Diceros bicornis minor: one gene and its partners. The protein of the gene in region 1 interacts with the protein of each later gene in a pairwise test. Links are inferred from orthologs where the notes say so. Each region holds a gene or a part of one and is shown in the gene's direction. Other genes may lie near its edges. The genes, in order: DTX3, UBE2L6 and USP2.

Evidence for each region.
Region 2: the proteins of DTX3 (region 1) and UBE2L6 interact in binary tests that used the Homo sapiens proteins (3 or more experiments, as listed by UniProt). The link is inferred for Diceros bicornis minor from reciprocal best matches to the Homo sapiens genes DTX3 and UBE2L6.
Region 3: the proteins of DTX3 (region 1) and USP2 interact in binary tests that used the Homo sapiens proteins (3 or more experiments, as listed by UniProt). The link is inferred for Diceros bicornis minor from reciprocal best matches to the Homo sapiens genes DTX3 and USP2.

What each region holds. Positions count from the first base shown.
Region 1 is NC_080756.1:11,379,794-11,390,793, reverse strand, and holds the start of DTX3 (probable E3 ubiquitin-protein ligase DTX3), read left to right. Parts: upstream 1-6,515; 5' UTR 6,516-7,611; intron 7,612-8,313; 5' UTR 8,314-8,487; intron 8,488-8,945; 5' UTR 8,946-9,010; intron 9,011-9,201; 5' UTR 9,202-9,249; coding exon 9,250-9,278; intron 9,279-9,626; coding exon of another isoform or gene 9,627-9,645; coding exon 9,646-10,375; intron 10,376-11,000. Other genes in the region: PIP4K2C (phosphatidylinositol 5-phosphate 4-kinase type-2 gamma), read left to right, coding at 2,037-2,183, 2,370-2,408, 2,998-3,111, 3,491-3,758, 3,927-4,030, 4,225-4,305. UniProt on the Homo sapiens protein: Regulator of Notch signaling, a signaling pathway involved in cell-cell communications that regulates a broad spectrum of cell-fate determinations.
Region 2 is NC_080770.1:16,364,241-16,374,608, forward strand, and holds the start of UBE2L6 (ubiquitin/ISG15-conjugating enzyme E2 L6), read left to right. Parts: upstream 1-5,290; 5' UTR 5,291-5,359; coding exon 5,360-5,386; intron 5,387-8,578; coding exon 8,579-8,674; intron 8,675-10,368. UniProt on the Homo sapiens protein: Catalyzes the covalent attachment of ubiquitin or ISG15 to other proteins. Functions in the E6/E6-AP-induced ubiquitination of p53/TP53. Promotes ubiquitination and subsequent proteasomal degradation of FLT3.
Region 3 is NC_080746.1:17,642,098-17,652,389, forward strand, and holds the start of USP2 (ubiquitin carboxyl-terminal hydrolase 2), read left to right. Parts: upstream 1-6,167; 5' UTR 6,168-6,267; intron 6,268-6,805; exon of another isoform or gene 6,806-7,357; intron 7,358-10,292. UniProt on the Homo sapiens protein: Hydrolase that deubiquitinates polyubiquitinated target proteins such as MDM2, MDM4 and CCND1. Isoform 1 and isoform 4 possess both ubiquitin-specific peptidase and isopeptidase activities.

The sequences.
Region 1 (11,000 bases):
ATATGGAGTTTCTGGAATATTTTGGTGATGAAAACACTGCCCAAATATCTTTCTACTGAAGAAAAATCTCACCAAAATCAATGAGCAATGAATGAATGAAAGACTCTAAAAGGAGTCTTTGGTTTATTCAGCAAATATTGAATGTCTCTTATTACTAGGCCCTATGTTACGCAGTGGAGAAAGAGGTGAATGAAATGGTTGTGGTCCTTAAGGATCTCTTGGTCTAATGGTGGAGACCAGTAAGCTAGCATTAGCACACAGCAAGATGTGTGCAATAGTAGAGGTATGTACAGAATGCTCTGGGGCTGCAGAGGAAGAGCATCTCAGCTCACCTAGGGGAAGAGGTGCACTGGGAGGCTCAAAGAGAGAGTTTTAGAGAGAGTTGTCATAGGAGCTGATTCTTGAAAGACTAGTAGAGACTAACCATTGGACAAAGTGGAAGAGAGCATTCTAGGCAAGGGAAAACAGCACTTGTGAAGACACAGAAACATGAGAGAGCTTGGTGTTGGGGAACTGCAAAAAATTCAGTGTGGCTGGGATATGGTATTGGCGAAAAATAGTTAGGCAGGAGCCAGATTGTGAAGGGTTTTATAAGCCACGCAAAGAGTTTGGGCTTTATCCTGAAGGCGGTTTGTAGGGGAGTGATATATATGTTACTTAGAAATAACACCAAGCATTTTAGGGAATGGATTGGAGGGGGGAATACTGGGAGTGGAGATACCTGTTAGGAGGTAATTATAATAGTCTAGGTGAGAAGTGACAGGGGCCTGGAGGAGTGATGGCAGTGGAGATCGAAAGGAAGACCTATGGGAGAATTGTGGGAATTAAGGCAAAGGCACCTCCAAATTCCTGGTTAGGGATAACTGGGTACCCATTCACCAACAGTTGGGAAGCAGAAAAAGAAACAGGTTTTTGGAGGAAGACAGTTCTGATTTAGACATGTTGAGTTTGGGGTTTCTGCAGTTCATCCAGGTACAGATGTCCAGCAAGTGGTTGAGGTACAGAGTTCAGGAAAGAGGATGAGACTAGGAGTCTAGATTTGAGAGTTATAGGTCAATAGAAATTAAAGCCACACGAATATAGATAAGATTATTGAAGGGAGGTGTGGGGTGAAATGAAAAGAAGGTTGAGGACAGAATCTTAAGGAGCAAGAAGAGAAAAGAGCCTATAAAGGAGACTCAGAGTAGATGGATGCTCTTCATTATTTATGCCCTACTTCATTCGATACAGGATTTGAGGACAGAGAGGAGGAGGAGCAGAAGAGTGGTATGATGGGAGCGGAGGGTGAAGAGAGTTTTAAGGAGAAATGAGTCAGTAGTATCAAGTGCCACCCAGCTGAAATATGACAATCACCAGATACCCATTGGATTTGGCAACCGAGGGATTTGGGGGAGGGAGGAGCAGAGAGATTTCAGAGGGGAAAGGAGAGTATAAATCTCATTTCACTGATTTGAGGTGTGAATGAGAGATAGGAAGTAGATTGATTGCTGACTAATTTTCTGAGAGGTTGGCTATGAAGAGAAGTAGGCAGCATTACTGAGAGAGAGAGAGAGATGGTAGCATTAAAAGAGGAATTTTGTTTTTAGAATCCAAATTTATAGGCCATCATGCAAACATTTTTACTGTGAGAATCTAGCCCACCAAGAAACATTGGTTCTAGATAAAATCATTTCACTGAAAAGCAGAGGTAATTTCTAATCCTGGTTCTGTGACCACTTGCATACAAAAAGGGTCTAAAAGAAGGATAACACCTACCTTGCCCATCTCAAAGAATGATAAAGATGAAATGAGCGAAGGCACTTTAAAATTTAGAGATATTATACAAATGGAATAAATCAGAGGAGATGTGGATTCAGAAACTGTATGAATAACCAGGGGCATCTTTAGAAACACCCCCCCACCCTTTGACCTTCTTGTAACCTGTCTACTTGAAGTTTTCTGCCCCACTCTGGAATGGTAGTGTTTGAATTCCCATCCCTGGGTTTTGTATATCTGCTGCTCAGCCTCTCCGCATTCCTTCCTCCCTTCCACCCCAGTACATCGTGAAGTGCCATGGCAACACACTGTTGCCCCAGTTCCTGGGCATGTACCGAGTCAGCGTGGACAGCGAAGACAGCTACATGCTGGTGATGCGCAACATGTTTAGCCACCGTCTTCCTGTGCACAGGAAGTATGACCTCAAAGTAAGGAGAGGAGAGCCAGGCCTGAGGGGGAGGCTCCTGATGACCTGAGTGTGGAGAAGGGCCTGGGAGGGCACTGGCTCATTCATTTTAAGGAAAGAAGACTGGGCTTGAGCACGCATCTTAGGAGCTGGATGCTGACTGTTCCTTTAGCCACTTCTGCTGACTTGTCTTTGGGTCTCTCCACAGGGCTCCCTAGTGTCCCGGGAAGCCAGCGATAAGGAAAAGGTGATACTGATTTTAGGTGATAGGGTGAGGGATGGGGGAAGGCAGGTGAAAGGGATCTTCTTAGGATCAAGAGGTAGGGATCAGCAGCTATTTATTCTTATTTTAATCTACTGAAAAAGATGTAAACTTGTACTGATCCAGGGATTGTTTGGAAGGGGCAGGGGGAACAGCTGCTTTGTCACTGGCATGGGTTATTCCATGTGGAAGGTTTGGGGATGGGTGAGGATGCCAGACTCTTAAGAGCAAAATGCCCACCCTCCACCTCCCACTCTGGACTCTCCTATTCAAGCAGCTGTTTTTTCTTAAGAAGAAAGAAAAGTCAGCATGGAGAGTCTTTATTGAAAACTATAAGCAGAAAGTAGTGGGCTGTGACTTGGGGTACAGCTGCAGTGACTGGTCTGGGGAAGCCCCTGGAGGTGAGAACAAACTCTGGGGCAGCACCCCAGTGTGGAGTTGGGTGAGAGGGATCATGAGAGCTCCCTCCCCTAGAGGCCTCTTGAGTTGGAGACAGAGCCCTAGATAGAGCAGGGTCCTCTGGGACCTTGGGGGAAAGGATATATTACCAAGATGTCCCTTTACCTGTTCTCAGGTTAAAGAATTGCCCACCCTTAAGGATATGGACTTTCTCAACAAGAACCAGAAAGTTTACATTGGTGAAGAGGAGAAGAAAGTATTTTTAGAGAAGCTAAAGAGAGATGTGGAGGTAATGACTGGGGTGTTCTGGGAAGGGCTTTGTTTCCTTTTTTGCTCCCCAGAGGTTAGCTCTCTCTCCCATTCACGATATGAGGGAACTCCTCCCCTTCCCTTTATTCTTTGGGCTCTCTGCATGTAGGGGAGTTGGGTATGAGATGTGACACCCCCCTAGAGGGGACCCATGGATGGGGGAACTGGAATGAGCTAAAAGGATGACCTTAGATACCAGGACTTTTAGGTACTAAAGGGCAATGGTATACTCCCAACTCTCTAGTTTTACACTTCCTTTCCCCAGGAGGGCCCCAGAAATTCAGGGGTGGAGGTATAAGGGTGGTACCTGGGAGTGGGGAGGGAGAGCTGGGGTGTCTGATTTGTCAGTGGGGTCTCAGTTCCTAGTGCAGCTGAAGATCATGGACTACAGCCTTCTGCTGGGCATCCACGACATCATTCGGGGCTCTGAACCAGAGGAGGAGGGGCCTGTGCGGGAGGAGGAGTCAGAGGGGGATGGGGACTGTGGCCCGACAGGACCTCCTGCTCTGGTGGGTTCCTATGGCACCTCTCCTGAGGGTATCGGCGGCTACATCCATTCCCATCGGCCCCTGGGTCCTGGAGAGTTTGAATCCTTCATTGATGTCTACGCCATCCGGAGTGCTGAGGGTGAGAGAGATCCTGGAAATTTTAAGAGTGGGGAGGGTTGTCCTTGGCAGACAGAGAGCAGGGTGGTGGGTAGAGAGGCTGGTTAGCTTTTCAGAAGAGATCTGACTGGTTCCTGGGAAGAGGGGATTGGGGCTATACTTGCTTTTCATTGCTGGTCTCTCTCCCCAGGGGCCCCCCAGAAGGAGGTGTATTTCATGGGCCTTATTGACATCCTGACACAGTATGATGCCAAGAAGAAAGCAGCTCATGCAGCCAAAACTGTCAAGCATGGGGTAAGGGTTCCCCAAAGCCTTGCCTTTCCTGTCTTGACTGTTATTTGGGAAGAGAGAGCCTCTTGTGCCAGAGCAATGGGGTGGCAAAAGGATAAAGGGTTGGGTATGGAAACGGTCTGGAGTAGAACAGAGGGCGGGCAGGGGGGAAGGGGCGTGGGGTGGCCTGACACCGTGTTCTATACCTCCTCTCACAGGCTGGGGCAGAGATCTCTACTGTTCATCCTGAGCAGTATGCTAAGCGATTCCTGGATTTTATTACCAACATCTTTGCCTAAGAGACTGCCTGACTCCATGGTGACTGCTGGCAAGGCTTATGTTCAAGGTGGTGGGGTTCTGAGGGGCTTGGGGGAATTGTGGATATTCTGGCCACTACTTCTTCTCTTCCTCCTTTGCTAAATTCAGGCTAAGGCTCCTTGCATCCCCACAACTCCGTCTTGTTGAGCGGGCTCTTCCTGGCCCTCAGAAATACGTCGTCCCTTCTCCCCTTTGTCCAGTTTTCCTCCCTTGCCCTCCCCTCCAACAAGTCTGCTTGCTTCATGAGAGCGTTACTGTTGACTCTCCCAAGTGCCTTGAGATTTGTCAAGTGTCCTGTTGTTTCTATAACATAGGAAGAGCTGGGGAAGGGGGTTGTTTGCCAACTTCAGGACCTGACTGGACAGATGGACCCAGCTCAAGCAACTACTCTGGATGCACTTTGCTGTGTGGGATGAACTAAGAGTATTTGAATTTTGCTGATAACTTTATAGAACTCACTGTGGCATGCTTCCTTCCCAGTGGGCCCTGGGATGGAAGAATTTCAAGATACTACAGATGTGGGTGCTGGCATGTACACATATGATGGGACATGGCCAGTCTTACACACAGGTGGGGTGGAGAGTGGTCAGCAGGCTGGCACCTCATGGAGGTGGGACCTAAGAGGTCTCTTGATTATGCAGGGAATTGGAGAAGGTCTATGTCAAGGATTGACTACTCTCCAGTCTCTTCCCTCACCCCACTTCCACCCCGACTCCTGTACTTCTGGGTGCGGGAGCCCAGAGATGGCCACAGCGTTCCAAAGGTGTTTGATTGACTGTTGCTGCTCTTCACCAGGACCTCATACCCATCTTGGGGCTGGAACCCTTCAGTGGGGGTGCGGCCTGGGATGATGGGCCAGGGGTGTAAGGTTCATTCTCCATGTTAAATTTCCTTTCTTCGTGTCTAGCCATCCCTGTGGTTTTAGTCCTAGCAGAAGGCAATATCACTACCTGGGTCAACCCTGGTCATGTAAAGAGGAAGCCTCAAGTGTGGGAACCTCCTCTGCTCCCTGGAGGTGTGCACCTAGCATACTCCCTTCCCCGACCCCTACTCAAACCGGTTTTCCAGTTGGTTTTGTTATTCTGTTCTCTTCTGTCCTATCTTATACTGCTACTGTGTCTCCCAGGGGACAGATGGCCTTGTTTGTCATCTTCACTCTCAACCCTTAGAGAGGAGTCAGAGCCATAACTCAATCACCCAGCCCCCTCCAAAGAGGGTTGAGTTGATTCGTGATAGTCTCAGAATGTAGAGGACCCTGATGAGCTGAGATAGTGTCCTCCCCTCCCCCCAATGCCTTTGGGGCTAAGGCAGCCATTCTTTTTGCTATCCTCTATCTCCCATGAAGCTTCTACATTTTTTTAAACATAAAGATGGGTATACCAGCAGCTGGCCTGTGGGGATGCAAAGATTCTTCGCTCTATATCTGGCTGGACTGATCTGTCACACAGAAGTCATGAGGTCATAAAGGAGAATTCCTCTCTCCCCTGCATCTTCTACTCCAAAGGAAGTAACGAGGAGTCCCCAGTGAAGGATTGGAGCCCCTATCATACCTTCCTGTCAGAAGCCTGATGGATCTTTTTCATTCCAAGTCTACCTTTCCCCTGTTGAATGCAATAAAACTCCATGACACCAGCAACTGTTGTTCTTTAGAAATGGGTTTTCTGACCGTGTGGCTAATGTATCATGAGCGGTATGGTCTTCATTAGTTGTTTCTGTTTTTCATCTTTTTTGTTTTATTAATAGAAAAGATCTTGTGTATTTACTCCCATTGCTGTCACTATATAGAAAATAAATTATTGAATCCAAATTCCTTCAGAGAACTGCCTCTTGTTCCCCCCCTCTTTTCTGAGGAAGCCTGTGCTTAGGTGTACAGAGACCAGAGGGAGAATTCTCATCTTTAAGTTGTTGGGCCCCTAACTAAGGCTGTGGGTTTCTAGATAGATGGTTGTGAACTTAAAGGTTGCGAGGGCTGTGCATGGGAATGGAAAACTTATTCTCCAACTTTGTGGAAGTTCAGCTATAGGGGGGCCAGGGGGAACTGAGACGAGATGACTCTCTCTTTTCCCCCAGGTCCTGGGCTTGATCACACTCCCATCTCAGTAAAGATGAGTGAGCCTCTCAGCTCAGGCACGCACGCACGCACCACGCACCACGCACCGCAGGCAGCATGCAGGAGCTAAAAGAGATGGAATTCAGTGTTCCCCCAGGCTTCCTGGGGAAGATGTCCTCTGCCTGGAAGGCAGGAAGAGTACATACAGCAAGGTCCTGGGAAAGTGAAGAAGAAAGTGACCAACCCTCCAGCCCAGAGGGGGAGTGAAGAAAGGGGGTGGACAAATAGAGGTTGTTGCCAGTCTAGGAGATCAGTACTGCTTGGGGAGGAGGCCATTTGGCTGGTGGAAAAACCTGGCTTGATGTGACCCCAGGGAAGTGAGTTGGACTGGGGGCGGAGATTGCTCTGATGTGGGAAGCAGAACAGAGCACAGCTTTCTTTTTTTCTGTGAGAGTTTTTAACTATTTCAACCATAGACTTGACCCCACCCCCCCGCCAAGGCATTTAAAAAAAATGTATTCACTCCCTATCCTGCACCAGCCTCAATATCCCTGTTTGTGGAAAGAGAAAAATCAGAGGCGCTCACCAATAGCCATCTGGGAACAGGTTGTTGGGGTCACAGAAGGTAACAATCTAGGTAAAGGCAAGAGATGAGGGAGGGGATTGAAATGGTTTAGTCCTGGGGTTTATCTTTTAGAACCAATGCTATTCTTTTTACTGTGATTCTTCTTCCCATCCCATATTCTTCTTCAAAGGCCCTTCCAGCATAAGGATCACAAAAAAATTGCCCCTCTTCCCCATCTACCTAAACCAACACTCCTCACCCACCCATCCACCACCAGCTCCCAGCAGCTGCCACGCAGCTGGCTGGGAAAAAGGGAGAGGGTTCCTGCCGGGAGGGGAAGGGAGAAGAGTGGCGTCTCTGAGGGATTTAACCTCCTACCCTCGGTTCCAGGACGCCACCCCCTCCTCCAAAGACTGGGACGGCGCCTCCATTTTTGTTTTGGGGCGGAAGGGCAGGGGCTGGTGGAAAGAAGAGGTCAAAAGGAAACGGTGGTTATCAACCGAGAGGGGGGAAGAGGGTGCCGTCCTCCCTCGTTCCCTTCCCTTCAGTCTGCACCCCCTGCAAACTGCCCCCACCTTCTCAGGGTCTCCCCCCTCCTTGTTGCTAAGGCCCAGACCGTCATCCCAGCAACAGCCTCAGTCATGTGACCGGCAATGGCGGCGCTGACGAGAGGTAGGTGAGCCTGGCGACCCCCACACCCACCGCGCGCCCCCCGGGCCCGGCTCGCACCCCCCGCGCGCCCTCCCGCTCCCCCTGCGCCCCCTCCTCCGCTTCCTTCCCCCGCGCGCGGCGCCCGACTCCCCCACGCCCGGCCGATCCTCTTTCTATCACCCTCCAGCCTTGGCCTCCATTTGGGGGTTCTGGGGACCGCGATCGGCCGACATGCACCCATGAGGGGGCTCCGGGAGCTCCGGCGAGAGGGCGATGTGGGGAGTTGGTTCCGGGTCGGGTCTTGCAGGACGTCGTGGGGGGAGGGGTGCAGCTGCCTCGATTGATGCCCCCCGGGACCCTTGCCCTTCCCGGCTGCCCCTCTGCAGGCCTCTCTCTGGAGGGAGGGACTGACTCCGTGTCCGGCCTGGGTTGCCCCAGAGGAATCAGAGACCCAGCATAAACTGTGGCCCCGCCTCCCTTTTCCGTGCCGGCAGGACTTGGAGCTAAGGACACCTAGCTCCTGGGTTCCGTCTGATGGGGAGGGGCGTGTTCCACCTGGACAGACAGTATGAACCGAAGCTCTCGGGGTCCAGTTTCACTCTCTAAATCTCGAGGTGCATCTGGCCTTGAGGGAACTAGGGTGGAGGCACAAACGGAAATCCGCTCCCCTTTGGATCAGTCAAGGAATTGAGGTCACACTAATGGCCCCTCTTTCTATTTGAGCTGCATTTGGAGGTGGTGTAGGGACAGCTCTGTAGCTGAACGTGGCCAGACTCAGGGGAAACATCAGGCTCCTCCAGCCGAGTCCCTGAGGGAGCCCCACCCCTCCCTAAATGCGGGCTAGATTGCTGACCGGCTTGCACTTCGCCCTCCGTGCGCTGGGTTTATAAGGCGAGGGTGAGAACTTCGTTATTGCAGGGGCTGCTGCCACTTTGTTCACATTCCAAACAGACTTCCGCAGAAGGGACTGGGTTAGCTCTCAAGGAAGGCTCCCTAGGGGCTGAATTATTTGGGAATGTGGAGCAGGGCGAGGAGTTGGGGAGCATAGGAGATATTCTTGTCCATGTGATCTGAGGGAGGTGGCAAGAAAGACCTCCATCTGCGTGGGTCTTTCCCTTCCTGACTTATCTTATCTGCACCCAGGCTTTCTGGAGATCCTCAGAGCTGGGGAAGAAAAGAGGAAAGTTAGCATGTTCAAGTTCCTTCTTTAGCAACTTGGGGAGTGGCTGGGGAGGGAATTTTGCAGGAAAGAAGGAGAGGAAATGGAAGAGGAGTTTTTGTTTTGTGTCTGGACTGGCTGGGGAAAATGTTAACCTTTGTCATCATAACCCTTTACCTTCCTCCCTTCCCCCCAGTCCTGGTCAGCCGAGTGTGGAAATAGAGGGATTTCTGCTGCTGTTTCCGTCCATGGGCTTTCCAGGTATCTACCTCCCAAGAGAACCTCAATTTTCACCTTTAAATTGGTTTCCTCCATTCCATGTTCCAAGTAATCCCATTCCCACTAACTGACACCCAGGTTCCCATCTCTGTGCGGTGGGCTGTTGGGTAGGGGCATGTGGGATGGGGGGAAGGGGTTTCTCACTTTCCTTCCTTTTCCTTTCCACCCACCAGGTCACACAACCTACAAGTAGGGAGCAGGGACACAGAGGGAGAGCCTGCATGCCAATTCTAAGCTCTTCAGGATCAAAGTGAGCAAAAAGGAGGTCAAAAAGTCTCCCTCCCCTTGAAAGAACCCGGTTTTCACTCAGAGGGGGGAGGGGCAGATCGTTTCTGTGATCTTGGGAGGAGTGTAAGGAGAACCAAGACTGATGCTTGGCCTAGATGATAGTAACAAAGTTATAGAAACTTTCTTGCTTGCTCTTCAGTGGGTGCTGGGGTTTGAAAGATGAGAGGAGATAGAAAATGAACTAGAGGGAGGAGTTGGGACTATGAGAGAGTAGAGGTAATACAGGTTTGGAAAGGAACCTGAAGTAGGAGGCACTGACATTTGTCAAATGGGGACCCCCCACCCTGAGTCCCTTTCACCCTGGGGGCAGTGTCGTTCGTCCTGTCCAGAATGGCAGCCTGTGGAGGCACCTGCAAGAACAAAGTGACTGTCTCCAAGCCTGTGTGGGACTTCCTGAGCAAGGAGACCCCAGCCCGACTGGCCCGGCTTCGCGAGGAGCACCGTGTGTCCATCCTCATAGATGGCGAGACTTCTGACATCTATGTTCTCCAGCTTTCCCCACAGGGCCCCCCCCCGGCCCCTCCCAATGGGCTCTACCTGGCCCGGAAGGCTCTCAAGGGGCTTCTAAAAGAGGCAGAGAAAGAGCTGAAGAAAGCTCAGAGGCAGGGGGAGCTTATGGGCTGCCTGGCGTTGGGGGGTGGGGGGGAGCACCCCGAGCTGCACCGCCCAGGCCCACCTCCTCTCCGAGCAGCCCCGCTCCTGCCCCCAGGGGCACGGGGACTCCCCCCACCTCCACCTCCCTTGCCCCCTCCTCTTCCTCCCCGCCTTCGGGAAGAGGCAGAAGAGCAGGAGAGCACTTGCCCCATCTGTCTGGGGGAGATCCAGAACGCCAAGACCTTGGAGAAGTGCCGGCACTCGTTCTGTGAGGGCTGTATCACCCGGGCCCTGCAGGTGAAGAAGGCCTGCCCCATGTGCGGGCGCTTCTACGGGCAGCTGGTGGGCAACCAGCCCCAGAATGGGCGGATGCTGGTCTCTAAGGACGCCACACTCCTACTGCCCAGCTATGAGAAGTACGGCACCATCGTCATCCAGTACGTCTTCCCGCCCGGTGTCCAGGGGGTAAGAAGACTCCAGCCTGCCCTTACCCTTCGGTTTTCCCCAGGCTCGTTCTGTGACCTGAGAAAACTGGGTGAGGGTGAGTGAGTGTTAGATGGGATACAGTCTTGCTGTCTCCCAGCATGCCTTCCCACTCAGTGCCCTGGAGCTAGGACATCCCCTTGAGGCCCAGCTTCTCCATCCCCATGACCCCAAGGCGCACGTGAAAATCAGGTATGAGAGAAAGGAGTTGAATACTGTGTCCTTCGTGAACTTGCATGTCGACAGACATTCTTGGCAGAGGTGAATTCTGTGGAGATGGCGGCTCAGGTGCAGGCAGGCACAGCGGGAAGGGATCTAACCCTCCTAACAGAGCTGGGAGTGTTACTTCGTTCCAGATTTATGAGAGAGGAAAACCTTGATGACAGTGGAAGGTTAAAACAGGAGTGCTGGGGCCAGTGGTGCAAGCAGTTGAGTGCGCACGCTCTGCTTTGGTGGCCCGGGGTTCGCAGGTTCGGATCCCGGGTGCGCACTGGAGCACCACTTATCAAGCTATGCTGTGGTGGCGTCCCATGTAAAGTGGAGGAAGATGGGCACAGATGTTAGCTCAGGGCCAACCTTTCTCAGCAAAAACAAAGGAGGATTGGCA
Region 2 (10,368 bases), on another chromosome or scaffold:
AGCACAAGGACTAAATGTTTATGTCTCCCCTGTAACGCCTAACCCCCTAGTGTGGCTGTATTTGGAGATGGGGCCTCTAAGGAAGTAATTAAGATTAAATGAAATCATAAGGGTGGGGCCCTGATCCAATAGGATTAGTGTCCTTATAAGGAGAGATGTCAGAGAGCTAATGTTCTCTCTCTCTCTCTCTTTCTCTCTCTGCCTGAGTTCACACATCAAGAAAAGGCCACATGAGGACACAGTGAGAAGGCAGCCATCTGGAAGCCAGAAGAGAGCCCTCACCAGAAACTAAATAGGCTGGAACCTTGATCTTGGGCTTCTTGTCTCTGGAACCATGAGGAAATAAATTCCTGTTGTTTAAACCACCTATCCTGTCGTATTTTATTATGGCAACCCTTGGGCCGGTCCCGTGGCTTGGCGGTTGGGTGTGCGCGCTCCGCTGCTGGCAGCCCAGGTTCGGATCCTGGGTGCGCACTTACGCACCGCTTCTCTGGCCATGCTGAGGCCGCGTCCCACATACAGCAACTAGAAGGATGTGCAGCTATGACATACAACTATCTACTGGGGCTTTGGGGGGAAAAATAAATAAATAAATAAATAAAATTATTATGGCAACCCGAGCAGACTAATACAGCCTGGCACATTCAATACAGATTAGCTATTATCGTTGTCATTGTCATTACTGTTATCTCTCTTGTTCAAAGTCCCCCAAGGAACAAGTAAGCTAGTGGCTGAGCCAGGCTGAGGAAGCTGGTTCCTTGACTCTCTAGGCCATCTTCCTGGTCTAGTGGCAGGAATCCCCCTCGCTCCTCTCCTGGGGCTCCTTGTCTCCATGGCTACCTCTGAACCATGCCCTCCACCTCACCCACAAGGGCCGGGCTCACCTTCATTGGGGTGTAGTCTGTGAGGAGAGGTTTGTATATGCGTGTGTGTATGTGTATGTGTGTGTGTGTGTATGTATGTGTGAGACTTGCCCAGGAGAAGGAGGTATGTGAGGCAGACAGGAAGAGGGTGTCCCTTCCTCAATCAAAAGAAGCAGGAAATTCTCTCCTTTGGTTGCCTGAGAACTTCTCTGGGCTGCAGGGCGATAGGGAGGGCTAGGGGAATTCTGAGATTAACCCTCCCAGCCCCAGATAGGAACAAGCCCAGGGAGAGGGCCTGGAGGAAAACAACAGCTCCGTCCTAAACCAGTCCCCCCCTCAAAGACGCTCCAAAGGTCCTTGGAGCCTTCTGAACAATTTGAAACTCTCACCCAGAACTCTGCATTATAAACAGGTGAGGTAACTTTAGTACCTACAAGGTGCCCCTCATGTACACAATCTCATTTTATGCTCACAATAAACAGACAGTAAGTCAAGCCTTGAGGCCTCTTATTTTTGGTATATCATCTTTTAATTTTTTAAAAACATTTTAATTGAGATATAGTTGACATACAACATTATATTAGTTTCAGGTGTACAACATAATTATTTGATATTTGTATATATTGCAAAATGCTCATCACCGTAAGTCTAGTTAACATCTGTCACCATATGTTGTTACAATTTTTTTTTCTTATAAGGAGAACATTTAAAATCTACTCTCTTAGCAACTTTCAAACATCCAATACAGTATTATTAACTATAGTCACCATGTGGTTCATTATACCCCCAGGACTCATTTATTTTTTAACTGGAAGTTTGTACTTTTTGACCCCCTTCACTCATTTCACCTACTCCTCATCCCCTGCCTCTGGCAACAACCAATCTGTTTTCTGTATCTATGAGTTCGTTATTTTTTTTGTTTTTTGGGTTTTTTTTTTTTTAGATTCCACATATAAGTAACTTAGAGGCCTCTCTCCTCCAATCTTTTGTTATACTTACAGATGAATATCTCTCCTACTTAATGGTAAAGACACAGAGTTGGCCTCAGCCCTTCCCGGGGCCCCCAGAGTGCTCAACACAGGGTCTTGCATAAGTAAGCGCTCAGTACATTTTTGGAATGGATGAATAAACACCAATGACTAGATCAGAGAGAATTAAAGAGCTCTATTGAGGAAGATAGTGTTGCCATTGCTCTAAGGGAGCAAACTCAGTAATCTCTCCCTCCAAGCCAGCACATTCGATCCTGGACGGGCACCTGCCATCATTTTAGTATTTATTATTATTATAACTATCACTTATTGTGCAAATAGCAATTCATTACTCCTCACATCCACTATTATTAGCCCCATTTTACAGATGACAAAACAGAAGCACAGACAAGTTAAGTAATTTGCCCAAGTTTATTCAGCCAATAATAGTGGAACTGGGATTTAATCCTGAGTATTTATTTCTTGGATTTATAGATTTCAAAGTTCCTCCACTTCTGTGAGCTTAGCCTCACAGGGGTCCTGGGAAGCAGGTAGAAGCTTCTACGTCCCACCCAAGGCCATGCTGCACTGGGGGGCAGATGTGGAACTAGAATCCGGGTCTCCTTCTGACACACAAAGGTCTGCATTGTGGAAGGACATGGAGACCGCGCATGCAGGCCTCCCAGCTGTGTGAGAGTTTAGGATCCATCCCAGGATGGGGAAGCTGGGCTAAATCCAGGACTCTGGATTCACTTCAGGGATGCAGAGTTTCCGAAGGGAAAGGAAGGAGAACCACAGAGCAGTGGACAGGCTTTGCTCCACACTGTAGAACCACTTTCAGTTTCTGTATACACTGCCACCTCACTTTTGCTCATGCTGTTCCCTCTTCTTGGAACACCCTCACCCCATATTCTTTTTTTTTTCTTTTTCTTTTTGTGAGGAAGATTAGCCCTGAGCTAACATCCATTGCCAATCTTCCTCTTTTTTTTTTTTTTCATGTTTTAATAGTTTTTAACATTGTGAAATTTTGGGTTGTACATTTTTGTTTGTCCTTCACCATATACATGTCTCCCTTCACCCCTTGTGCCCACCCCCCACCCCCATTGCACCTGGTAACCACAATACAGTTTTCTCTGTCCATGTGTTGGTTTATATTCCACACATGAGTGAGATCATACAGTGTTTGTCTTTCTCTTTCTGGCTTCCTTCACTTAACATAATACCCTCCAGGCCCGTCCACGTTGTTGCAAATGAGACGATTTTGTCTTTTTTTATGGCTGAGTAGTATTCCGTTGTATATATATACCACATCTTCTTGATCCAATCGTCAGTTGAGGGACACTTAGGTTGCTTCCACTTCTTGGCTATAGTGAAGAATGCTGCAATGAACATAGGGGTGCATAAGCCTCTTTGGATTATTGATTTCAGCTTCGTTGGATAGATACCCAGTAGTGGGATAGCTGGATCATAGGGCATCTCTATTTTTAATTCTTTGAGGAATTTCCATACCGTTTTCCATAGAGGCTGCACCAGTTTGCACTCCTACCAGCTGTGTATGAGGGTTCCTGTTTCTCCACATCCTCTCCAACATTTGTTGTTTTTTGTCTTGGTGATTATAGCCATTCTAATGGACATGAGGTGATATCTTAGTGTTGTTTTGATTTGCATTTCCCTGCTGATTAATGATGTTGAACACCAATCTTCCTCTTTTTGCTTGAGGGAGATTCAACCTGAGCTAACATCTGTGCCAGTCTTCTTCTATTTTATATATAGGTCACCGCCACAGCACAGCTGACGAGTGGTGTAGGTCCACACCCAGGATCTGAACTTGTGAACCCGGGCCACCGAAGTAGAGTGCACCAAACTTAACCACTAGGCCACGGGGTTGCTCCCCTTATCATGCTTTGCAACTCACTTAGATTTTTATCTCTTCCAGGAAACCTCTGTCCCTCTCTGAGGCAGGATCAAGTTGACCCTCCTCAGGCTCCCAGAGCACCAAATGATTCCTGATAGGCTTGTGCTTACTGCTTTGCATTAAAAACGCAAGGGCTGCATTCTTTCCCTCTGTCCCACCAGTAGGAGAGCTCATCAAGGGCAGGGACCCCACTTTCTCATCGCAGTGTTCCCTAAAGTCAGTGTCTGGCACTCAGTAGTAGATGCTGGTTAACTGAGATGGTTCAGATGCCTCATTCCCTCATCTCTACCTATGTTATGGGATTGGGGACAGTGGCTTATTCATTTCTGGCATGTAGAAGATGCCCGGATAAAGTTTATAGGATTGAATTAAACAGAATTAATCATTCTGCAAATACATCCCACATCTGAGCTGAGAAGTCATTTGGCTCCAAGACACTTAGATAAAAACTACATGAAGTAGTGAGTTCAGAACTCAAAACGTGCTCAAAATACGCTGGTTTCTCTTCTCATTTGGACTGAAAGGAGTAGGGTGAGGAAGATGGCTTCAATCCTCCCAAGGAGACTCATTTTTACTAGCAGATTCTTCCCCAGACGCTGCTCCGTGTTCAGGAGCTGCAATTCCACGGTGGCCTCAGCTTTGGGCTGGCGGAAGGGGTCTCTGTCCCTGGAGAGAGGGGTGGAAATTCCTGCCTATGTGTGCGGGGCACACAGTAGACCTGCAGTTTGTAATGGCCCAGTGGTAAAATAAGGGAAGCTCCCCCACTCAACTGTTTCCCAAATCGTCATATAGTAGGCACTTACTAAATGCTAAGCTTAACCAGGGACTAAATGAAGGGTCGACCGAATCCTCAAAGCAAGAGAGACTGGGCCCAACAGCGCCCCCTTGCGGGGCTCTGCACCAAGCAGCCACCTGGGAGAAAGGTCCTTGCAGTCTCACCACCGAATGCTGGACAGCACAAAGGATCCCAAGCTGCCAGGGGAGGGGTCCTTGGAGGGGAGATAGTCTACCGTGGCCCCCATCCATTTTTAGAGATGGAGCACTGGGCCCAGAGAGGGAAAGTGATTTGTCCAGGGGGCTCCAGGAATTCGTTGAGGGGGCTTAGGGCGGCGGTCTGATGGAGCTGTATTTGCATACCAAGAGTTTTTTATTTATTTAGGGAGAGTGTATATTTGGGGCGCTGTGGGAAAGCTGATGGAGATGGGGGGGCCTCCGGCGGCGGAGCTGGAACTAGAACCCGGATGGGCGGACCCCGGCCCCGCGCCGCGAGCGCTTGCTGCCTGGTGCGCGGCGCCCCCCAGCGGGACGCAGGGATCTGGCACCGCCGCGCGCTCCCGGGCCCGCGGCGGCTCCCGACAAAGAGCGCAAGTTCCGGGGATCGGAGCCCACCGCGCCGGGGCCCAGGCCGGGGCGCAGGCGGATCCTCCCCTCGGCGGCCCCTAGTCCCAGCAGAGGCGGTGGGGGGCAGGACTGTCCGGCTCCCGCGTACGCGCTGGGGGAGCGGGGCGTGGGCGGGGCTCTCGGGGGCGGGGTCCCCCGGGCGGGGCGCGCCGAGTCCGCCGGTCGGGGCACAGTCTGGCTCAAGTCCGCGAAGCCCCACATTCGGTCCCGAGATGTCAGCGAGCAAGCGGGTGGCGAAGGTAACTGCATGTAGGATGCCCCCTTTCTCTTGGCTCCCCTCGCTCTCCCATTCCCTCCTCCCTCCATCCCTCCCCCGGCTCTCCGCTCTCTGAGCGCGTTTATCTGGTACCAGGGCTGGCTGAATCTCTGTCATCCCCGCCCCCTCCCCAGAGGAGTGGGTCTGCGAGAGGCGCCGGAGCTGGAGTTTTGAGGGGTGAGGACACATCAGGCGAGGGTGTCGCTGGCGCCCTGAGCTGTGCTGGGAATGGGGATGAGCCAGCTCCCCCCAAACTGGTTTCAGTTTCATTTCTCCTGCCAGAAACTTGTGGTAACAATTGCGTGCGTCTCAGGTGCGGGAAGGGTTCCTTGGCGTCTTCTTGGAGCCAGGCGCTCTGCTGGGGGTAGTGGTGGGTGGGTTGTGAACTGAAATAACCAGGAAAAGGTCCTTGCCCTGGAGTAGCGCACGCCCCGCCCCATGATTTGGTACCCACATCAGCGTCCCGAGAAGTATGGGATACTGAGTAGGAGTCGGGAGCAAGATTCCCTGGGTATTCTCGGTAGGAAGAGATGCCAAGGCGGTCCTGGAGCTGTCCTGGAGTAGGTGGCATGCATTCATTCGTTCTGCAAATGTTGTCGAATGCCTACTGTGTGCTGGCTCCTGTTCTAGGATTTAGGGAGGCAGAGACGAACAAAAATCCTGCCCTCGGTGAGTTCATTCCAATCAGGGACACAATTTGAAATGAGGTCTGGAAGGATGGGGAGGGGGCGATTTCCCCCAAGAGCGGGGAAAACCCAGGGTGTTTGGAGGGCTGCGGTGCAGCCAGGAGATGAAGATAGACCGGGAAGGGAGGACAATCCTGGTGAAGTGGGTCTGACACCTCCCAGGCTTTGAGTCTCTCAGCAGTGCCCCTTCAATGTACGGAGTTGGGGGCAGGCCTGAAGGGGGTGAAGGAGGGCCTGCTACGCTCAGCCTCTGAGAAGAACATGATCTCGGATTGGGGCACCCAGAGCAGGCTCAGCTCAGAAGAACTGAAATCTGAAGGTTGGCAGCAAAATGGGGCAGAGAGTCTTTCCAGCCAAGTGGGAAGGAGCTGGGAGCCAGTATTTGTTGCATTGGCACCATTAAGTGCCAGGCAATTTACATTAGTTATTTCATCGAATTCTCTCAGCAACTCTGTGAGATAAGTCATGTATGCCCATTTTACAGATGAGGAAGTGGAGGCTCAGAGAGAATAACTTGCTTGTCCAGGGTCACCCAGTTGGGAGTGATGGGGCTGGGATTTGAGCCCAGGTGGATGGGGCTCCCATCTGCAGTTTCTTTCAGTGAGCTCTGTACTTTCGTTTTCTGTTCTCTTGAGTCAGATGATTTCCTAACAGGCCACAGGAAAGAGCCGTGTCCCCTAGCTCGGGTTTCAACATCATCAGGCTTGGGGAAAGTTTTGGCAGAACTCATCCATAACAGATAAAGTCCAAGTGTTCCTAGTTATAGTGAAGTCGGGAAAATGTGCATTCCAGAGCCTCTCTGTTCAACCTGGGGCTTCCTTCTTGCCAAAGAGTCACAGATGATGCTAGAACTATGACTTATGGTAGCAGATACTTCTAGTGTGGGGTAAAAGGTAAATGAGAGGTCAGACACTCTGGGCAGAAGGTGCAAGAAGCAGTTTGTTGTATGAACAGAGATGGAGTATGGGCTGAGGGATAGGAAATGGGGGACAGGCATGTGTTTCTATGTTGGGGGGCAGATAAAGGTCAGACAGGACACAGTGTTAAAGGACTCCTCTCCAGCTGTGGGCTGGAGCTCTCTCTCTGCCTTTGTTTGCACTAGGGTTTCTCAACCTTGTCACTATTGACGTTTTGGGCCAGATAATTTTTTGTAGGATGTTTGTCAGCCTCTCTGGCCTCTACCTACCAGAGACTAGTAGCACTTCCCCCATTTGTTACAACCCAAAATGGTTCTAGATATTGCCAAATGCCCTGAGAGTGGGGGTAAAATAACCCCTGATTGAGAACCACTGGTTTACACTCATCTGGTGTTCCAGAGGAATATGACCTGCCCTTGAGTGTCTTTTTATCTGTTATTGGTCTTTTCCAAAAAAAATGGTCTGTTGCCCCACAGGATGGACCCCAAAAGGGGGAGAGGGGTTCCTTGGTCAAATACATTTGAGAAGTACTGCATGCTGTGGGCTCACATCTTGGAGGTTCATGATACACAACAGTATACTAAAGGCTTTGTGAAGTCCTGCAGTAAAGAAATCCGTTTAGCTTAGTGTTTCCCGATGTACTTGACTGTGGAACCCTTTTTCTGTAATAATTATTAATCTTGCATGGGACACACTGTACACATTTGCTCTAACTGGGCCTATGCCTTGGTACCTCTTCCCTTCTCTGCACCATGGGCTCCTATTTATTCTGCATGGCTCAGCTCACAGTGTCACCCTCTGCAAAGCCTTCCTGCTCCCCTCTCCTCTCCTTCCCTGTTATGTATCCCCACATTATTCACATAATCACATTCATGTTGCTTCCATTACTCCAATGAAGTTCTGGAGAGTTGGGCCCTGTCTTAGTCAAGTGTCAACAGAGGATACTCAGGAAAGGGCTGTCGGGAGAATTCAGTGATGTCCAGGTGACTGGGCCACATTTCTGGGAAGGCGAGTCACTCCTTGTCCCCTTGTTTCTCTGCGGAGTTCTCCTCTGCCATGGGCTGCCTGAGTCATTTCCCTGCCCCAGCCCTGGTCTGGAGGAGATTGACAGGGATGGGGTGATGTCTTTGCTGCCCACACTGCTTTGAGCACTGTAAGGACATGTCATGCTGGATACTCAGCGGAGGCTACGGAAGGAAGGGAGAGAGGGAATTAGGAACTTGTGACTCCTCGGGTGAGGACAAGAGGATGGAGGTTAAGTACCTCAGTTTCAGGAGAAAAGGCTCCTAAGAGAATTTACTCCCAAGTTGTAAAATCTGGATCAGGGATCTGCATCTTCCCTCCACCTGCTACGTACAGAGCTGGGGTGAGGCTAACATCGGATAATTCACTTAAAGCGTTTGGCACCGTGTCTACACATCCTAAGCACTCAGTAAATGGGGGCTCTGACTTTGTTGGCTTCTCTCCCTAGGGTGTCCCCTTTGGGACTTGGGACAGCTTGCTGCTGGGACGGGGGAGGAGGCTGAGGTAGGGGAGAGAGGGCCCACTGTCCACTGTCTGTGCCCCCCGCAGGAGCTGGAGGATCTTCAGAAGAACCTTCCCCGGTACCTGCAGAACCTGTTCAGCGATGCCGCCGACATCCTGGTGTGGCACGCACTCCTCCTGCCCGTGAGTGTCCCCAGGGATTGTGGCCTCAGATGGGGGTGACTCAGGCCAGAGGCCTGGGCAGGGAGGGTTAGGACTGGGCAAGAATTTTCCCTGCGTTAGAGACATTTTTCTTTACTGGAGGTTATCATGGTAGAGGGGGTCTCTCTCTGGATCCTTGCTTCTGAGGTCGAGGCAGACTGATGAAGAGGCTAAAAGACGTTTGGACTTGGTAGGAGACCCCTTCCTCAAACCAGTAGCCACCAAACCCACCACAGAAGCTTCAGCAAACAGCATTAAAAAAAAAAAAGAGAAGGAAAAAAGATCCCTTGGACCTTTGTCAAGGGGTAGGAATAAACTTCCTGTTTCCCACAGTTGGTAGAATTTGCTTCCTTAGATCTAAAATATAGTTTGTTTTCTTTTAAGATCATATTTCAGAAAATTATTGTTCCATATGACAACATGGATAACTTGTCTCTACTATTCTGATTTTTCTCTATTATTAGATATCATCTTGATGAAATCTCCCTTTGAAAACTGTATTCCAAAGGACTGTCAGAGGGCAAGATCTTTATTTTGTCATCTAATTACTAGTGACAGAAGATATTTTCTTTGAGAAATTCATCTATACGCCTTTGGTTACTTGGAGATAAAAATTAAAATAGTTCAGCTTTTTCTTAACTCTTTGGAATATAAAGGAAACAATTTGTTTGATTATTTAGGATTTTTACTGACAACAGAGTGGCCTGGGTTGTGCCATATTCTCTGTCAACTGACCTGTAGTCCAGAAAAATGGAGAAAAGCCCTTGAGTCAGGTCAACATTTGAACCTCTGTCATGTCCTGTGGGCTGCTGGGTTGAAGCAATCCATGTACCTGGCTTGGAGTGAGGACACCTGCTCTAGGCCTCACAGACCAGGAGAAGAAGATGCTAGAAGGAGATGCAGGGACTGATGAGATCTCTCAGGAGGCTAGCTCTGAGATGATGGGAATGAAGAGGGGAGAAACAGGTCAGAAGGAAGAAGGTGGGTGATAGGAAAACCTTGGGAAGGTCACATTTCAGAGACTACTATGAAATCAGAGGACTTCAATGGTGGGCAAGACTGAGGTGGGTCGGTGTGTCCCCAGGAACTAGCCAGAGACCTTCCAGCCATACTGGGGTCCTGAAAAACCATGCTAGTTGGAAAGAATCCAGGACCGGGAGACCAAAGCTTGATGCAGAGGAGCCAGCTAAGGGCGCCTGATGGGGTCTGGCGAAGCCATAAAGGAGGGGATGGTTGGCGGGCAGGGGAAGGTCTGTGGGACCAGCAGACAAATTGCCCTTCAAAGGCTTAGTCTCAATTTGCATGCTCACCAAGGTGGTCACATCTTTGTTGTGGAAGCCTACAGCCGGATGAGGCTTATAAAACTAGTAGTAAGAGTTCACATTCGTTGAGAATTCCCAGTGGACTGAGCACCATTTTCAGTACATGACATGTGAGGTTATACTGAATCCTCTCAACCACCCCACAAGGAAGGTCATCATCTTTCTACAGTTGAGGAAATGGAGGCCTAGGAGGTTAAGTGACTTGTCCAAGCTCACACAGAATAAGGTGGCACAGCTGGGAGAATAGCAAAATGCTTTATTTAACCCAGAACTTAGAAGGAAGTAGGACTTTCTCAGCTGACCCTATGGTGCAGCATGAAGCCCTCTGTCTGGTCCAACTTCTTCATTTTACAG
Region 3 (10,292 bases), on another chromosome or scaffold:
TACCAAAGTGTCAAAAATCATAGGATCCAGTCTCAGGCAAGTCCCCAGAAGGTTCTCCAAAGCCAGCTTGAAGACCACGAAGGGACTAGTGGGAGCCATAGCAACCAGAAGTCCCGAAGCTAGGAAGGCACTGCCTGCCTGGGGAAGGAACCTGGTGGGAAGAGAACCCCTAACTATAAGTCATCTACATTAAAACAAGCTGGATTTACCATGCTCTTGTTGGAACCGCAGGGAAATCCCAAAAAGGTGAAATCACCCAGGGATGACAAGTGGAAATTATAACATACACATTACTGCTAATTTAAGATCTGTAAAATGCTACTGATATTTCCCTTATTTGGTGTGATAAATTTTAGTGTTGATTTTAGAGAAGAAAAAATATTTATCAGGCATTTCCTAGGTCACTCAGTCTTCCTAATCTTATTTTTTATCAAAAGTCATCAACTGCAAAACGTCCTACTATTTCAGCAACTTGATCTTCAGGGCTGGGGAGGGGATATTGTCAAACCAGGAGAAATATAAGAATAAAATTCTGAACTAAGACAGACGCAATGGAGATGGAGAGAGGGGAAGCTTAGGGGAACAAAAGAGACAGAATCAAAAAGATATGGTCTAGGCCGGCCCCGTGGTGTAGTGGTTAAGTTCAGCGCACTCTGCTTCAGTGGCCCTGGGTTCACAGGTGGGTCCCAGGTGCAGACCTACACCACTCATCAGCCATGCTGTGGCAGCACCCCACATACAAAATAAAGGAAGACTGGCACAGATGTTAGCTCAGGGTGAATCTTCCTCAAGCAAAAAGAGGAAGATTGGCAACGGATGTTAGCTCAGGGCATATCTTCCTCACACACACACAAAAAAGATATTGTCCCCTCTAGATGTAGTGAACATGGTGAGACGGTATTCTTAAATATTATTCTTATTGGTTTCCCTTTACTCCCACAGCCCCATTTTAAGCAGCCAAGCTTTTGTGTTTATGCCTCAGTGAAAGGATGTGACAGAAAAAAACAGGGGAAAAAATGGTAAGCCACATCTGGCTTTTGAATTTCACTTGCCTAGGCCCTTAATAAAACAGAAAAGATTCGCAGCCTGGACAAAAGATGTGGAGGAAATATCTTGGGTGAAGCCAGGCCTCCCATTGGCATTACCACCAGCAGACAAGAGCCAGAGGAAAAGCAATAAGTATATAGATGTTGGTGGGTTCTGTCCTCAGGGACCTGAGCACAGAAAGACAGCAAAACCCCAAAGAGGTTTTAGAGATCTGATGGCAGTGGGGCCCCACCCCTCCTATCTTGGGTAGATCCTCAGGAAGGAAACAAGGCCCTAGAAAGAGGAAACGACCGCAGAGTGTAGTCTATTCTAGAGACGGCTGGAACCTTGGACAGTGTCACTTTCTCAAGCTATGCCAGGGCCCAGAAGCAGCAGAATGATTCTCATGCATCCAAGAGTAACCTAGAGGTAGTAGAGAGACACCAGACCTAAAGAGACCACCCAGCAGGAACTAGGCAGTAGACATCTCAGTGGACACTTGGGTGGCCATGTAATAACAAGGGCCACTTCCTCCAGTGCTATAGCAAAAATATATACATGAGACACCCTCCCGGAATTTAGGCAATCCCTGGAGAAAGGAGGGGCAATCCCATCATTTGACTGAAACTAAGTGTCCACTACTCCAGCAGAATAGAGGCTGGCTCCAAATAGAAATGTAGTTATATTACAGAAAAACAATGTTGTGTTTCCTGCATATCTGAGTTTGCAGACTAAGATAACACCTCTGTAAGAATTAAAGGAGCGGAGAAGTTGGAAACTAGCAAATTTCTGGCTAGCAAATGGGATAGATGTAGGGAATAAAGGAAGGGGAGCAAACAATGGAATATGATGAGTTTAAGGTTTAGACAGGTTGAGGTTGAGATGCTGATGGGACATCCAGGGGGATGTCAGGAGGCAGGTGGATAATTAGGACTGGTCCTCAGGAGTGAAGTCTACCTGAAAATATAGATTTCAGCATCATCAGCACATACAAGCAGCTGATGGATAAATAGTGCATCAGAGCAATATTCTTACATACTTACTACATGCCAGGCATTGTTGAAAGCTTTTCATGCCTATTAATTCATTTAATCCTCAAATCAACTCAATGAGGCAGATATTACTACTATCCTCATTTTTTTTTTAACATATGAAGAAACAGACATAAATGTTTCAGGCCTCATGCAGCTAGTAACCAGAGGAATCAGACGTTATCCCAGGAAATTGACAATCTGCACGTATAAACAACCACCGGGCTATAAGCTATACTAGAAATAGAGGATGAAGGAACCCATCAGAGGAAAAGGAGGATGAGAAGAAGCTAGCAGAAGGAAAACCAGAAAAGCATCATGTCACAAAACCTAAAGGAGGAGACGACTTCAGGAGGAAATGGTTGGAGGTATCAAGTCTGCAGGAAGTCAAGTAATTGATTATAACTAAAAAGGCCCATTCGAGTTAGCAAGCAGGAGATCAGTAAGGAGGCTTCCTGACGTGTGAGAGGTGGAAGACACGGAGTGTGCACAGACCAGGAGCTGAGAGGTAGAAGACAGGGGGATGCTGCATAGACCGGGAGGTGGGGAAATACAGTGTTTCCAGCTCTTCCAGGAGGACTCTGAAGAGGAGAGAGATAGAACTTGAGTTAATGATTTTCGCTTTTGAAAAGGGAAGAATTTGGAGACTATTATATGTTAAAGGGAAAGTCAGCAGAAAATCAAAGTTTAAAAGATACAGGACTCTAAACCTGTGACAGTAACTGTGAACACGATGAGAAAGAATGCTGAATGGAGGTACTCTCAATTCATGATTTCTTACCGCAAATGGGCCCTTGATGCTGCCTGACGACCCTACTGCACTTCCACAATCCATTCACTCTCCCACTCCCTAGCACAGTGGTTCTCAAAGGGCCATCCCAGACCAGCAGCTGCCTCACCACCAGGAAACTTGTTCAAAATGCACATTCTCAGGCCCACCCCAGACCTGCTGAGTCAGACACTCTGGGTGGGGCTTTACCAGGCTCTCTAGGTGATTCTGATACAAACTCAAGTTTGAGAACCACTGCCCTGGATGACTAGTTCATAACTCCTCCTCTCTCTTCAATTTCCAACCCTTCCTGCTTCATCCTCACTTTCAGCTGATCTTGCCTTCTAATTCACCGAGAGAAAAGAAGCCGTTAGGAGAGAGTCTCCACCAGCTTCCACCACATCCATCCACCGCACATCCACCCCACATCCATCCATCTGGGCATCTGTGCCCAGATAGTCTGCCTTCTCTCTTTTTCTTTGGATGACCACTTTGTGCCTCAAACCAAAGCCAGGCCCTCACTCTGTGCTAGATCCCCTCCCCTCACCTCATCAAGGACATTGCTCCGGCAGTTCGCCTCTCTCTCCCGCATCATCAATTCTCACTCTCTACTGGCTCTTTCTCATCAGCATACAAACATATAGTTATTTTTCGTTTAAAAAACTCTTCGGGGCCAGCTGGGTGGCGTAGCGGTTAAGTTGATGCACTCCACTTCAGCAGCCTGGGGTTCACAGGTTCGGATCCCTATGCATCACTTAGCAAGCCATGCTGTGGTAGGCATCCCACATATAAAATAGAGGAGGATTGGCACAGATGTTAGCTCAGGGCCAATCTTCCTCACCAAAAAAGAAAAAAAACCAACTTTCTTGACCTCACTTCTCCTTTTAGCTCCCACCCAATCTCTCTCCTTCCTTTACCACAAAACTCCAAAGAGTTGTCTATATTGTGTCCATCCTTCTCCTCCTATTCTTTCTGGAACCTATCCCCAATCAGACTTTCACCTCCATGACTCCAGGAAAACCATTCTTGCCAAGGTCACCAACAACCTTCTAAATCAATTCTCAGACTCATCTTACTTAACCTATATGCTGCATTTGACAGAACTATCTTTCTCTTTTCCTTGGCAGGTTTCCTTCTCTAGTTTCCAGCATACCACCATCTCCTGGATTTTTTTTCCTCTACTTCACTGGCCAGTCCTCAGTCTCTTCAATGGTTCCTACTCATTTCTAAAACCATTTTCTGTTGGACAGCTCCAGGATTCAGTCCTTGCACATCTCTTCTATTTAAACTTGCTCCCTTGGTGATCTCTTCTAACCACATGGCTTTAAATAACATCCATATGCTGATGACTCTCAATTTTATATCTCCAACCCAGACCTTGCCAAACTTGTACATCCAACCACTTTCTTGGCATCCTGACATGCCTAACAGACACCTCAACTTAATATGTATTAAACTAAGCTCCTGATCCCCCTCACCCAAAAGAAACCTGCTCCTTCCACAGCTTACACCTTCTCAGTTAGTGTTTAGGCCAAAAATTCCTCCCTTTCTCTCAAATACCTAATCCATCAGAAAACCCTGTTAGCTCTACATTCAAAATACACCCAGAATGCAACCACTTCTCACTTGTCCTGCCACCACACCAACCCAGGCCGCCATCATCTTTCACCAAATGATTGCAATGACCTTCTAAATGGTCTCCTGCTTCTACTCTGGCTGTCTTCAGATCTCTTCTTCATACAGTAGATAAAGGAATCTGGTAAAACAAAAGTCAGATCCATATCCTTCCTCTGCTCAAAATCTTCCAATGGCTCCCATTACAGAGTAAATGCCCAAGTCATCACATTGGCCTTAGGGCCCTACAAGGTGCGGTCCCTCCCTTCTCTCTTTGATCTCATCTCCCACGCTCTCTCTCTCTCTTCACTCCAGCCACAGTGACCTTCTTGTTCTTATTCAAAAGTGGCAAATACACTCAGGACCTTTGCATTTATTGTTTCCTCTGCCTAGAACATTCTTTCTGCAGATATCCAGATGACTCACTCCCTCCCCTCCTTCAGGTCACTCAAACGTCACCTTCTCATTGAGGTCATCTCTGACAACACCTTACACACTCTATAACCCCCTTCCTGCTTTCTTTGCCTCCACAACTCTTCCTGCCATCTAACATACTCTATATTTTACTTATTTGGCATTGTGCTTCTGCTACTACTAGGATGTAAGCACCTTCAAGGCAAGGATTGTGCCTGTTTTGTTCACCGATGTATCCCCAATGCCTAGAAGAGTACGTGGCACAGTCAATAGCCATGTGTAAAATGTGATGGAATAAGGACCCTAAGGAAACGAAGGGTTAAGATTCAGAATGGAATTCGTCTTGGCCAAGAAGAAAGACACCTCTTTCAGTGCTCCTGGAGCAGGGATAAGAATGGATTCAGATACGTTTGTCGGCAGAAATTTAAATATTTCCCTCCTGATTGCCTCTAGCTTCTCTGGGAACTAGAAGACAAGGAGGGACTTGAGAGTGGTAATGGACAGAAATACCAGCGGAGGAGAATAGGAGAGGGAGGTAAAGACACTTGGAAGGATCCATGGTCCAGGTGAAACTGAAAACCTGCATTTGCCTTGACACCAATCTGCCTGGCAGTGCAGTTTTCTTTGCCACCATGGGGGGAGAGGGGAAGGCTATATATTAAGAATAGGAGCAGCAAAAATTTAAGTTTTGTCTCGGCTTTTTCTCGAAAGACCGAAGAGAATTCCTTCCACTCAGTACCTCCGTTTACCCACGCAGGGAGGATTGGTAAACCAATCACTAGTCTCATGTTAGTAAAATGAGCACAGAGTGTCCTCAAGAGTAGAGAAAAAGAGATGAGGCTGAACAACTAAGACCTCTCCCAGCCGCGTGGGAAGGAACCGGAACATTTAGCCTTCCCTAAAAACTGGAAGTGGATATACATGCCCCGGGGCTCAAATTCTGTGCCTTTTCCCGATGACCCCTCCTCTTTCCCAATACTTTCCAGCTGCCCCGCAGCGTTACGTTCAGGTCCACTTCTTTTGGTGCCCCACCCCCTCCAAATTCACATTCTTTTCCTCCACGTGGTTCTCTGTATATATCGGTCGCCTGGGAGACCCTAGCCGGGCGGGGCTCTAATTACGCCACAATAGGAACAAGCCAATAGCCGTGACGCGTCCCAGGCACGCGAGACGTGGGGTGTGGCTTTGCCGGCCCAGGCGCAATGAAGCGGCTGCCCGCTGGGTGGCGCCGATTTCCCGGGGAGGTCCCTTCTGGGGCCCCGGCGGAGGTGGGTTAGAGGCGGGCAGGAGCCGAGGCCAGGGAGCCCTTTGCGTCAGCTGCTGCTCACTGCACAGCGCCAGCACCAGCCGGGACTCACCCGCAGCTCCATGCTTGTGCCCGGCTCGACTCGTCCATCCTCGGAGAAGAGGCAGGTACGTGCCACCTGTCAGAGACTGGGGAGGGGGGTGCGGAGGTCGGTGCCGTTTGAGGCTGAGAAACTGAGGTGTCAACGACAGCCTGGGCAGCATGGGCACTAGAAATGTAGGGCGAGTGCCAGCTGCGCGGAGGAGCTCCAGCTGTGGATGCCAGTTGTGTGTGGGGGCCTGCCAGCTGACAGCTCAGGGCGCCAGGAAGAGCCATCTGTGTGCTGATCAGTGTGTTCTAGAGAAAGGCTGCTTCCGCAGGTCCAGGTCTCTGTGCCCTGTGGCTTGAGTGACACCTGGACACTGACAACCCTCTCCCCACGTGGGCGTGCAGCTCGCTTACCCCCTCCTCTTAAAGCTCCCCCGGGGGGCTGTCCGTGGTCAGTTTGCCAAAGGGGTGGGGGTGGAGGTGGGGGCAGCAGTTAAGTGGAAGGGGAGATTTTCCACCAATCCCAACCCAGTAAGAGGCATCTTTGAAATTCTCACCAATCCCAAACCAGAAGCAGGCACCGGTGCTCCAAGGCAAGTAACTTATACTTAACAGCCAAGAGGAGCCCTGGCGCAACGCACTCTAGCTACCTCTGAGGACTGAACATCTCCCTCCCCATCTGGCTGCTTTTAGAATGGGGCTGAGTTGGAGATTGCGGTGATGCTCACCTCCGCAGGCATGGGCATGAGAAGGTCCCTCAAGTCCGACCCGTCGGTGAAGTGGAGGAAAGGAGAGCTGGTTGGGCTGGGGCTGGGGCATCCCCCACTCCTCTGATGCTACAGATGCATACCAAACCGGGGTCAGAATGAGGACTGGAATGAGGGCCAGGAAGAGGGCGTCCTATGAAGTGCATCATCAGAACCCGAGCTGAGTCAGTAGCCTCCGCTGAGACAGGGTGGAGGCACCATCCTGGGTCCTCCCAGTCCTCGGGGAGAGCCATCAGGAAACAGGAGAAACAGACTGGGAGCAGACAGGAGCACCGAGGCCCAAGAGGTTAAGAATCCTGCTCCTTCCGCTGTGACCCTGCCCAGCCCGGCTCCGTGGCCCTGGAATCCTGTGCACTCCTACAGGTAGAGTGGAACCACCCCAGGGCAGCTCGGTCTTCTCCTGGTAAGCTGGGGGAAGCTGCACTTGCCAAATGGGCCTGGACCTTGTCTGCTGGGTGGACTGGACACCTGGGAATATAGCAAGCCTCGTTTGCCCTTGTCCCTTATGGGACATGGACCAGCTCAGAAACCATGGGGCTGTTCTCTGGCATTAGAACAGAGCACTCCCCAGGGGTGGCCTGGAGGCCCATTTCTCCCCAGGAAGGCTCACCTGGTAGGTGCTATTACAAATACTACCACTAATTATAATAATAAGTAGGAGTATTCAATGTAATAATAATTATTATTTATTGAACTCTTACTATGTGTCAGGAAATTTACAAATATTATTTTATTTAATCCTCACAACTGTGAGGTAGTATAGCATTATTATTATATTTTTTCCTCCTGTTTTACAGATTAAATAAAAGGTTCAGACAGCTTAAGTGCCTTGCCCACTGTCTCAGAGCCAATAAAAGAGAAAGAACTAGAATACAAGCCCAGGCCTAAAAGTCCATTTTCAGAGTTTGAACTCAAAACCTGAGAGCTGGTCCTGCCTGCTTCTCACTATCTGTGCCCTTGAACAAGCTGCTTTCCATCTCCAGGTCTTCTCTATTTCAAAATTAAAGGAGTTGGACCAGCACTGAGGCTTTTTCCTCTTCTCTAATTCTGTGACTGACACCTCTTTCTCCATATTTTTGCCTCAATTCCACCCCCATCCCTCTACCCTCTTTCCAGTTGTTTCCCCTTGAATCTCCCTTCTGTTCCACTTCAAAATGCCTCCCTTCAAAGAGTCCTCGTAGGATCTCCTTGCCTGGTACTGGCTCATCAGGGCTGCCCCTCAAGCACTGGAGGGACTGCCACTGCCCCTTTAATTCTCCCCCGGCTTGGAATGCAAGTGAGTTGAGCTAGCCATCTCTGTGAGGTCAGATAAGATACTATATATATCAGAGTCGGTAACCTGAGCTCCGGATTACCCAGCCCGAGTCAGACTCCATCCAGCCTCTGGGCTCTCCACTGCGCTCCCTGCCCTGCTGGGGAAGGAGAAGCCCCAGATCCCGTCCAGTGCCCCCGGACACAGGTCAGTAGCTGCCCCTTTAGTATCTGAGCCTCACAGGGTGGCTGTCCAGAGGGCCTTGGACTGTCTGTTAGGGGGAGCCCTGTCTGTTTGGGGCAGCAGGTGAAAAGCCACCCCCACTGGGCCTGGTGGGTGCTGTGGGCAAGAGGGAAGGCTCAGAGGCCCAAGAACAGAGGAAAGATGAGGCACTAGAGGAGAGGGAGAAAGACTGGGGCTCTCCCCTGGGGAGGAGGTACCGGGAGAGTGCCTTTCTACCAGGAGAAGTGTGTGGAAAAGAGCATTTAAGGATACCCATACCGCCCGGGGGCCCATTTCTTTGCCTTTTCTTGGAAGTGCAGAGATGCCCACCCTCTCCCAACCCCAAATCATGAGACACTATCCAGAGCCCACTCGCTTCTTCTCTACAGTCAAGATTCTTGTTCTAAATTTCCAGTCTATTTATCTTACCGCTTTGCCCCTCTCCCAGCCCTTGGACAACTACTCGGAGCAAGACAGACAGAGATGGACCCAAAATCCCTGGGATGACCCCCTGCCAAGGCATGCAAGACGATTAGGCAGTAACCTGGTGGATCACTGGGTGCCAGCCCCTGAGACACAGAGCTGCTAGTGAGGCCCCTGGGGGCCTGAGAGGAGTACGCAGAGCTCCTAGGTGGATGTGAGCACAAGTGTCCCGCACCCCAATCCTCCACTCTACCTGCATCCTCCACACCTGCCAGGACATCCTTCTACCCAGGAGTTGACACCTGTGCCCAGGCAGTGCGAGCAGCCAGGAGCGAGGGCCAGAGAGTATAGATGAAGGGAGGCAGGGCCTCTCCCTCAGCCCACTTCACCCTTCAAGGTCAGCTTATCAGCAGTGCCTCATTCCGATGTTGTTAGCAAGCAGCTTTGGGAAGCTTTGAGGTCACCACTGTGGAGGTTCCCAAGCACCTGGCAAGACTGGCTGGGACTCCCCACTCACCTGTCCTGGACACCTAGGTAGGAGGTTAGGAACTGAACCCTGTTAAGGCGTGCCTCTGAAACCCAGCTAGAGGCCTTTTATCCAGGCAGCCGCAAGGCCACAGAAGCCGGCATACCTTCACCCCAGAGAGCAGAGCGGATCTGGGCAGAGAGGGGCCATGCAGGCTGCTGGGATGTGGGGCATTACCGATCCCTTACCCTGGGGGCCAGGAGGGCCTGGGATTCCTGGGAAGCAAGTCCCTCCCCTGGCAGGGCAGGTTAGGGCACTCTCCACGTGAGTGACAGGAAATGACAGTGGCTGACACTAGGGGGTTGGCTGCCCCAAGGGGACAGGGTTCATTTTAACCCCTGCCTCACCTAGCCTGGGTGCCTTAGGGAGTGGCCCAAGCTGGAGCAAGGGTAGGAGGCTGGAGTCCATGTCCATAACAAGCCTTGGGCCAAGGGCCCTGGCTGGGCCTAGATGCTGATGCCAAGGGACACGCAGGAGCTTGGCACTCTGGGTGAAATGGAGGCCTCCTGGTCCATCTCGCGGCAGATCAGTATTGTACTGGGGCTCAGGTTGCACTTGGCTTCGCTTTCATTTGCCTGCAGTGGAAACTCGGAAGGGCTGTCCCTGTGGGAGTCTGTACCTGCTGTGCTGTTGCCTAGACAGTGGAAGCCTGGGTCCCCCACCCCACACCAGCTCTGGGAGAGGCCAAGGAAGTGTGAAGTGGGGGGCTTGGCTTCAGGGTGGCTGTTAGTGGACAGAGCACAAGTCCCAGGCCAGCTGTGCCACTGCTCCCAGCATGGCCTTGGGAAACCCACATCACTTCCACAAACTCTGGTTTCCTCATCTGCGAACGCGCATCGTTACAGCACCAACTGCTTAGGGCAAGTGTGAGGATTAAGTGAGTTAATATACGGTGTCCCAGAAGTCTTAGTGCAG